2 linked regions of the Caenorhabditis elegans genome follow. The gene in region 1 interacts genetically with each later gene. Each region holds a gene or a part of one and is shown on either strand. Other genes may lie near its edges.

The links.
Region 2: changes in unc-75 (region 1) and tdp-1 impair growth when combined (synthetic growth defect), as found in Caenorhabditis elegans (one study listed by BioGRID).

Annotation. Positions count from the first base shown.
Region 1 is NC_003279.8:11,590,304-11,595,283, reverse strand, and holds the start of unc-75 (RRM domain-containing protein), read right to left. Parts: upstream 3,039-4,980; 5' UTR 2,983-3,038; coding exon 2,878-2,982; intron 1,358-2,877; coding exon 1,264-1,357; intron 1,075-1,263; coding exon 980-1,074; intron 158-979; exon of another isoform or gene 86-157; intron 1-85.
Region 2 is NC_003280.10:8,996,101-9,000,261, reverse strand, and holds tdp-1 (Tar DNA-binding protein homolog 1), read right to left. Parts: upstream 2,438-4,161; 5' UTR 2,429-2,437; coding exon 2,333-2,428; intron 2,279-2,332; coding exon 2,085-2,278; intron 2,035-2,084; coding exon 1,955-2,034; intron 1,852-1,954; exon of another isoform or gene 1,842-1,851; coding exon 1,603-1,841; intron 1,514-1,602; coding exon 1,373-1,513; intron 1,330-1,372; coding exon 1,112-1,329; intron 1,008-1,111; coding exon 731-1,007; 3' UTR 540-730; downstream 1-539. Other genes in the region: F44G4.5 (uncharacterized protein), read left to right, coding at 20-481; F44G4.3 (uncharacterized protein), read left to right, coding at 2,720-2,784, 2,831-2,926, 2,977-3,076, 3,126-3,194; ndub-2 (putative NADH dehydrogenase [ubiquinone] 1 beta subcomplex subunit 2, mitochondrial), read right to left, coding at 3,363-3,753, 3,798-3,889. UniProt on the Caenorhabditis elegans protein: RNA-binding protein which regulates transcription, splicing and RNA-editing. Limits the accumulation of double-stranded RNA by maintaining the abundance of the mature RNA transcripts that are formed from double-stranded precursor RNAs.

The DNA of each region.
Region 1 (4,980 bases):
CGCGCGCATACTAAATTCAATCAGAAATTTCCGGCACAAGCCGCCGCGCAAAAATTCGTTTTTCGCAACGGAACTGCGGTCAATTTGCTCAAATTTTTCTTTTCGTCTAGCTTTTTGAGTTTCTAGGCCACCGTTTGAAGCGTTTCACTTTTTGGGCCTTGGTGGCCTAGAAAAGTGAAAGTTAGGCCACGTTTTTTTGCTGAGTTCAGTTTTTGATCTATTCGATGGAGTCATCGTCGGCAAGCTTTTTTTTTTTCATTTTTCAGATTTTGAAAATATTATTTTGAACCAAGTTATGGCAAAAAATTTTAAATTGGTGACCTAGAAATTTCAGTTAAAATTCTAGGCCATCACATAAAAGCTTCTGTAACTTTATTGTTGTTTTTGAATTCTAAAAAACGCTGCCAACACGATACGACGTTCCACGCAAAATAAGAGGTCGTGGCCGATTTTTGGATTTCTAGGCCACCAACTTTAAAATATCATACCTTTGTTAAAATTGAATATATTTTGATGTTTTTGAAAAGTCTAGTGAATTTTTAAATGTGTTTTCAATTTAAAATTTTTTAAAAATTATCAATTTTGAAAATTCTAGGCCACGAACTTCAAAACCACAAAACTTAGCGAAAACTCAACTAGTGAACTTATAAAATATACATTTTTAAATTTTCTAAGCCACCCATTTGATTTTCTAGGCCACCTACTTCATCTGACCATAATTTTGCGTAAAATCGTGATTTTTCAGAAATTAAAAAACTAGATATACAGTATGAATGTTTATCTACTATACTAACAACTCAAATTTTAGATTGAAAAAAATTCTAGGCCATCAATTTGGGTTTCTAGGCCACCAACTTCAATTGGCCATAACTTTAATTCAAATCAAGATTTTTCAAAGTTTTAAAAACAAATATTCAGAGCATTTTCTATATTTTCAAAACAAACATTTCATTTTTCCAAAAGGCAAACGAATACTCACTCCAGGCAGCGTTTTCTGATCGTGAAGTGTCGCCTGACAGCGGACGGCGCTGTCTCGATGGCAGTAGGTGAGAAATGCGCAGCCTTTGTGCATACCTGAATGCATTTCAATTTCTAATGAACCGTGATTCCGGTACTCTAACCACACCCTGTCAGGCTTCTGGTAGTAGTAAGAAAATTTTGTGGGGAAATTTTATCTAGCAAAAAAATTTTTTTTTTTTGGATTTTTTTTTTCAAAAACATTTTTTGTTGAAAAAAAAACAAAAGTTTAATTTTTCTGCTTACCTGTATATTTGTCCTTAAGAATTGTGAATTCATATATTTTACCAAATTGCTCAAATAGGTGACGTAGATCTTTCTCTTCCAAGTTTCGGGGGATCTGAATTCTTAGATATAACTTTTTGCGAATTTAAAAATTTCCAAATAAATTTTTTTATAAACATTTATTACAACGCTAAATATTTCATAAAATCTATTACATTTGTAATTTTTAAAACGGTTCGAAGTTGGTGGCCTAGAAATACAAAATGTTAGGCCATTAACTGAAAATCAATTTAATATTTTTCACTTTTTGCGAGTGTTTTGTACACTGACATCATTTTGAATTTTAAAAAATTATCGATTTTCCGCCAAGTGACATCATTTTAAAGTTGGCGGCCTAGAAAACCAAATAACACAAAAAACTAGGCCATTATTACTTAAACTTGAAGAATAGATATATTAATATATTCTTAAGTTTAATACATTTTTCAAAATTTAAAAATATTAACTTTCAGTCAAGTTATGACCGTTTCAAGTTGGTGGCCTAGGATTTTTCTATGCCACCAACTTAAAACCGCTATAACTTGGCTTAAAATCATAATTTCTGAATTTTGAAAATTGTTACAAAATGTGCTCAGTTAACACTATTATAGCAATTTTAAAAACAATCCATGGCCTAACTTTGCATTTCTAGGTCATCAACTTAAAACCGCTCTAACTTGGCTCTAAATCAATATTTTTTGAGCGCAAAAAAGTTTGATACGATACAAAATAATAGTAATTATTATTTTTTTTTAAATCACAACATTTTTCAGACTTTAAAATGTTGACTTCGAGCCGAGTTCAAGTGAGTTTAAGTTGGTGGCCTAGAAAAATCCTAGGCCACCACCTTCAGATTTCTCTAGCTTGCCTGAAAATCGATATTTTTTCAAATTTCAAAATATAAGTTATAGCTGAAAAATGTAACTAGCGTGATTAGTAGTTTTCAAATTCTAGGCCACTAACTTCAAATCGCCATAACTTGACTCAAAATCGATATTTTTAAGTTCTGTAAAAACTACTGAGTAGCTAATAATTTTAGTTTCTAGATTTTCATAGAATATAATTATAAATTCTATGAGAAACGTTTCCCTTCTACTCATATTCCCTTAATCCAATATTCCCTAATATGCTCCGAACCGCCTGTGTCCCCCCGGGTTTCTGGGTGCTCATATCGATCTTGCTCGCGGAGCACAGCGACAAACTTGACACACACTCTGACGATGGAGTATGCGAGACGCCGGGAGATATCCGCGTGGTGTAGAGGGGGAGGGAAAAGAGCAAATTTGGTGCAGAATGGGCTTCACAAATGGGGAGAGAGGGAGGGTATCAGCGTCACGCGATTTGTAGAGGGAAATGGGAAAAGTTAAGGTTTCTAAGAAAATTGAAAAATCAAAAAAAAATCAAAAACTTTTCACAAAAATCCACCCCCATATTGCCTAGAATCCCCCCAATTTTAAAGTTGTGGGTCTCACCACGACAACTACAGTACCCCTGCTTTGCGGCGGGACCTAACACGCAGTCTAACAAAGTTTTGAAAATCTATATTTTCAGAAATTCCACAAACCCCAATTTTTTTCAATTTTCAGCCCAACCAACCTGCCCGACAAAAAGCTTAATAGCATCCGGATCCTTCACCGGAAACCCATTTGAATCTGTCGACGAGGTGCTACTGGCGCGCATCTCGTGCTGCTGCTGCCCCATATCAGCAGCCGACGGAGCCGGAGCAAGTGCAACTGTCGGTGGAATGGTGACAAGCTGCAAATTTGTGAATAATCAACAATTTACATATGTTAGATGGATAATTTGGAAGCAAGAACAAAAATTAGAGACAAAAATTGAAAAATCTTTTACCAAAACAAAGTTAACTGACAAAATGTTTATTAAGTAGTTTTCTATATTTCTGTAGTTAAAATGTTCAAATTATAGCTCAAATAGGCCGAGATATAGTCCATAAAAATTGGTAAAGATCAGACATAGTGCATCGATCAAGATATGTCTACAGCTATTCTACAGCTTTTAGCTCAGTTGCTTTTAATTTTATCAAAATAAAATTAACTGACAAAGTGTTTATTAAGTGGTTTTCTATATTTTTGTAGTAAAATTTCTTTAATTATAGCTCAAATAGGCCGAGATATAGTCCATAAAAATTGGTAAAGATCAGACATAGTGCTGCAACTCAGTTTACTTTGATTTCATCAAAAATTTGAAAAGAAAATTATTTTAAAAAACTTTTTTTCTATAGTTTTCTAGAGGAAATTTTAGGAAATTGAAATTTTTTTTTGAAAATGAACCGAAGTATATGGCCTGGAAAATTGGAGGGTATAATAGTTGCACAGCAAAATTTTTTTTACAAAAACGCTGGAACTTTTTTTAAAATTTTTCTAGGTATTCATTTTTTCATTTGGCATCCAAGTCTCTTTATTTTGGGTCCCACCACGAAACCTACAGTAGTCCGGCAGGTTTTCGTGGCGGGACCCATGGGGGTCAAATGAAAAGTATTGGAGTGAAAAAAAAACATTTTTACTAATTGTAAGAAAGAAAACTGGAAAACTCCTTTTGAAACATTCAAAAAAACAAAAGTTTTTTTGGAAATTAATTAAATTTTTTTTAATTTTTGCATGCTCCTTTTAACTACTAAATTTTATACTCAAATAAGGGCCTTGGAAGCCTAGTTCTAGGCCTGGACTACTAATTTTTTTTCTTCAATTTTTACAGATTTTCAGAAGTAACGAGCACGTCACAAAGAAATAATATTACTGGAATATAAAAAATCCCGAAAATAATATAAAATTGTGGCGTAACTAAGTCAGGGAAAGTGAGAGAGAGAGCCGCTACAATTCATGGAAGCTAGTGAGTGTTCGAGAAGCTGAAGGGGAAGAAGAAGAAGCCAAAAAGAGAGTGAAAAGAGAAAGAAGAAGAAGAAGCCGTGCTGCTCAGTCCCCCCACTCGCGCACCCCTCTTCATGAAGACGTGACGCTGGAGACGCAGGTGGTGAGAGATTGGGAGAGAGGAGGAGCTTGAAAGAGCACCTCATCTCAAGAAGAGCCACGATTAAGGAGATCTTTGCCTTTCAGAGCCTTGCGGGGGTTTTGAAATTGGCTGAGCGGCGACTGTGTAACGCATCAAAATTAGAGGCTACAAAATTTGACAAAGCTGATGCTCAATAGAGCTCAATATTGTTGACAGATTCAGAATATCAGTTCTATTACAAAAAACAGGAAGCCATGTTTATTGTGGGGATTCTTTGGTGTTACACTTTACACTTGTGATCTTGAAAATGTTTAGAAAGGAGCATCAGAAAGTGCTCAACTATATAATTGTAAAAAAGTAGATAGTTGACACTTTTTGATAACCTACAGAGAAAAGAGCTGCCTTGGTCGATGCACCATGTCCAAAACCTAGCTATGGGCCTTATTCAACTTAGACGGCATGTAATATAAAGTTAGAGAAAATTTGGTATTTAGCATTGTTTTTTACGAAGAGAGTCGATGCACCATGTTCGAAAGGTATCAAAAACTAGAGTATCCATTAGAGTATCCGGAATGGGGAAATTGTTTTAAAATGTAGTATTCGTGCTCCTCAAACTTACGAATATAACAAAACTTACGAAATATAACTGAAACTTACGAATATAACAAAAGAAAAACGGGAAAAATCCGTTAACATTGAGCAATTGAAATCGACGAAAGCGGATGAAAG
Region 2 (4,161 bases), on another chromosome or scaffold:
CAGAATTATTTTAATTTAGATGCTTCTGGAAATTGAGAAGAATGAAAAGTCGAGCTTTGATGACGTCATCACGGGTGCCGAATCGGATAATGGTTGGGAGGATTGTTTGAGAGAAACTGAAAGTGTTCAAAGTCAATGGATCACTGAACAATCCACCATTGCTTATCCAGAAACTACACGTGTCAATTGTGATGGTCCACAAAGTTATTATGAATTGGCTGATTTGAATTATAAGCCAGCAGAGAATACTGTTCGTTTGGCTCGTGTCCCATCACAGTACCAACTTGATGCTTTGTCCGAGATTTTCGTTTTCGATGTTCCTCAACATATTGCCGTTAAAAAAGTTGAAGCTTCATTTCTGCCGAAATATGTGAACACGAGTTCCGAGGTTGCCCAGAATTCTGTGAACACGACGCCATACTTTGTGAATTCGGAGTACGTTTCTGAGATGTTGTGCAATGAATACTCGGAAACTTACTAACTTTTTGTGCCTCTTGTCTTACCAATTCTTGAGAATGAACTAGTTTTTTAGTCGATTTAATTTCAGGTTTTTTATTCAGAGATTGTAGAATTGCATTATTAAAAATACAGCATAAAATCGCAAAGTGCGTCGACATGAAAATTGTAGGGGTCTAGTAAATGTGAGAGAACAATACTAATGACAAATTGTCAGACAAGAAAATTGAGAAAAGTGTAGAAAAATATGAATAATAACGATTTTTCGAGAGAATCACCATCCTGGTCCTCTCGAGTCTCCAGGTGCCCAGTATCTCCTCTCGAGGGGAGAATTTTGCTGACGGTATGAGTAATCTTGTGGTGGGCGGACGAATGGCATGGGCAGAGGTGCTTCATTTTGAATCGGTCGTCTATCCGGTCGATCACGTTCTCTGCGGTTACGGTAGCCAGCTGGAAGGCCATAATCAGGGCCAACTGATTGATTATTCTCTTCTCGAGGCTGTGCGATGCTCAATCCAACTGATAAACCGTTGACAGTTAGCGATCCTTTGCTGAAAATTATATTTCTTACTAGAATGAAAAATATGAGTGCTTAAAAGTGATGCTACACCGGAGACAGTTATTTTTAACAGGTTTTCCAAAAAATTAGCAATACCTGACAATTCTTTCCGCGGCTTCGGCGCTCGACAGCGTAACGAATGCAAAGCCTCTGAATGGTTTTGGGATGAACACATCGGTAACTACTGCAGTCTCTATATAGCTTTTTGCTTCATCTCCAAACACTTTTCGCAGTTGATGTTCGTCTACTTTGTCTGTGAGCCTTCCGACAAAAATTCGACTGATTGATGGACGACCTTGTTTGTCCTGCAAACTCTGCTCAACTTATTAGTTTTAATTGATCAGTATAATAACATACCCTTCCATCTGGAACTTTCACATCACAACGACGACCATCAATCATGTGCTGTGGGATAGCTAATACTTTATTTTGTTCACCGACTGATGACATTCTGACAAATCCAAATCCTTTTGAGTTTCCATCCGACTTTCGTTTTATCTGAAGAAGAATATTGAATATGTATTTTTAATGGAACCTATGTGAACTTAATTCTCTCACTTTCAGATTCCTTCACTCATCTCACGAACCTCACAGAACACAACAGTTCCTATATCTTCGAAGTATTTCTGAAAGCACTCGTCAGTCGTTTTGAAGTCCACACCGAGCACGATGAGGTCAACTGGCTGGCTGTCTCTCTCAACCGCTCTCTTCCTGCCCGAACGTCCGTCACGACCGTCATCCGAATCCGAGTCGTCACTCGATCCCACTTTACGTCTCTTCGCACTCGTCGCGTCAGCTGATGACAACGCTCTGACTCTCTCGCTCTCTGAATCACACTACGTCACTCGAACGTCTTCACTCAGACTGTCACATAAACCGTCTCTACTCAAAAGCTTGAATTTTGGTGAAACTAGTTAATATAAAACAAAAACAACTTACGCGGGGCAACAATAACGAAGAACGTTTTATTTTCCCAGCCGTCAGCTGGAGCAATTAATTTCAAACCACTGGGATCGACTCTGGAAAATAAAATAAATTTTAAGTCAGTATACCTCCACCAAGCACTCACTGAACAGCTCGGTTGGCTCCAGTTTTTGGATTTTTGTACTTCAAACCAGTAGCACCCGGAAACGATGCTTGCAATGTAGTCATCAAGACAACACCATCAACGGTAGGAAGTTCTATTGGCTCATCTCCATTTGGATCTTGTACTGTGATGAATTCCGGGTCCGTGGTTTTCTTTTCGTCACTCCCAGTTTGTGTCTGGAAAACATGAACATGGGATATTAGCAACTGTACGAATTATTATTAACTTACCAGTTCTGCCTCTTTTCGAATTTCCTTAACTTCATCCAAGGGTGATTTAACCTCGGCCGCAGGTTCTGTTTTAACCTTCGGCGTTTCGTCGGCCATTTAGTGACTGGAAACAGATATATTTGAAATAATAACAAATTTACTAAAATAATGAATTATTTGTATCTATTTTTAATCAATAAAACCAATAAATTGAGCCAAAAATCTCCGAGCAAAAATCTTGTAAATTAATTACACAAATGGTGTGCAAACACCATGACGCACATATGCACACATTTTCACACCGTACCTCTCAGAAACTAGGCGTCTCTGAATTACAAAAAAAACCTTCTTTTGCCCATTAATGATCATTTTATTCTCTGAAACTTGACAATTGACTATTATTCAAACATGGAAGGTGACAAAAATGTGGTGATGAGTTCAAAACCGACAGGGAAAGCCAATTGGAAAATAAAGTAAGTGTTGTTCACCAGCGTTAAAATTAAAATTATTAACTTTCAGATTCCACAAAATTCTGTCATATCCTATGAAAAGAACTGGTCCTGCAATTGTAGCTTCAACGCTTCTCTACATAGTAATGTACAATGTTGGAGTCCGGTAATAAAACATTGTAATTGATTCATTTTTAACTGAAATACTTATTTCAGGTGGTGGAAAGGCGACAAACATCCAGTAAATCGGTTTATGTGGAAGATACAAGAACAAGAAGGAAGGCTAGATCCTACTCTTCAAGCGAAAAAACAAGTTGTAAGACTAAATTTCCGCTCGAAATAGTTTTTCATTCGTCTTTTTTCAGGTTCTTTCCTACCAAGAAGAGCGAGTTTATCGTCCACGAGACAATGTGCCGGACCTTGGAATAGTTTAGGTTATTTGGTTATAGATTAGAAATAAATAATTATATTTTTAAAATGTTCGTATTCGAAGCCACTTTATTGAATTACAATCAGGCATACAGGAAACGGTTAAAAATAAAAGTCAAGTCGTTTCAAGAAGAATGAGACTATGAATGAACTAAAAACATTCTGTCAACTATTTATCGATAAGTTCCATATTCTTTCTTGTGGTTGCCCCAGTATTCTGGATCTTCGGCAGAATCCTTTGGAATTCCGAGCTCTTCATCCGTGAACTCGCTCAAGTATGGCATGTACCAATGTCCCAAGAGATGGCCAGAATGATAGTACATGTGGTACGAGAACCACGCCCAAATGACAGCTGAGATGAAATAGGTTACACAACGATCGATGTAGGTTCGACCAGTTGTTGGAGTACGGTAGAAGTAATCTGGAATTGGCTTATCCCCCTTCGAGATGGTACCGCGGTAGTCTCCATCATAGGTGTGCAATTCTGGATTCTCCGAAGCTCCCATCTTTCCTCCAACTGGAACATTTGGACCAACAGCATCAGATCCCCAAGCAAATCGATTTCTAGAATAAAAAATAAATCTATACTATTCGGAAAGAAAATTTACCGAACAAAAGTCAGACGAGATGGGGAATTGACGAGTCCTCGATTGCGGAGGTGCTGCAGAGCCAACTGAGCAACGAATTTGTTCCCCAACATGGTCAGAACCTGAATAAATTCTGCGAATATATATAATAATAAAATATCATCAGAATAGATAATTATCGGTCAGAAACCTTAGAGGTAACAGTTTAAAAAAATTGCATCAAATTATATTATTCAATAACATCAACAAAACAACAAAATAAAAGCAGTAACAAAGATGATAGGGTTGCATGGGAGAGATTGAGATATTTGTTCAAAACTTCAAAAACCTTAGTAAGGATAAAATTGGGGCTTCGAATTTTTTTGCAACCTTTGAAAAACGAATA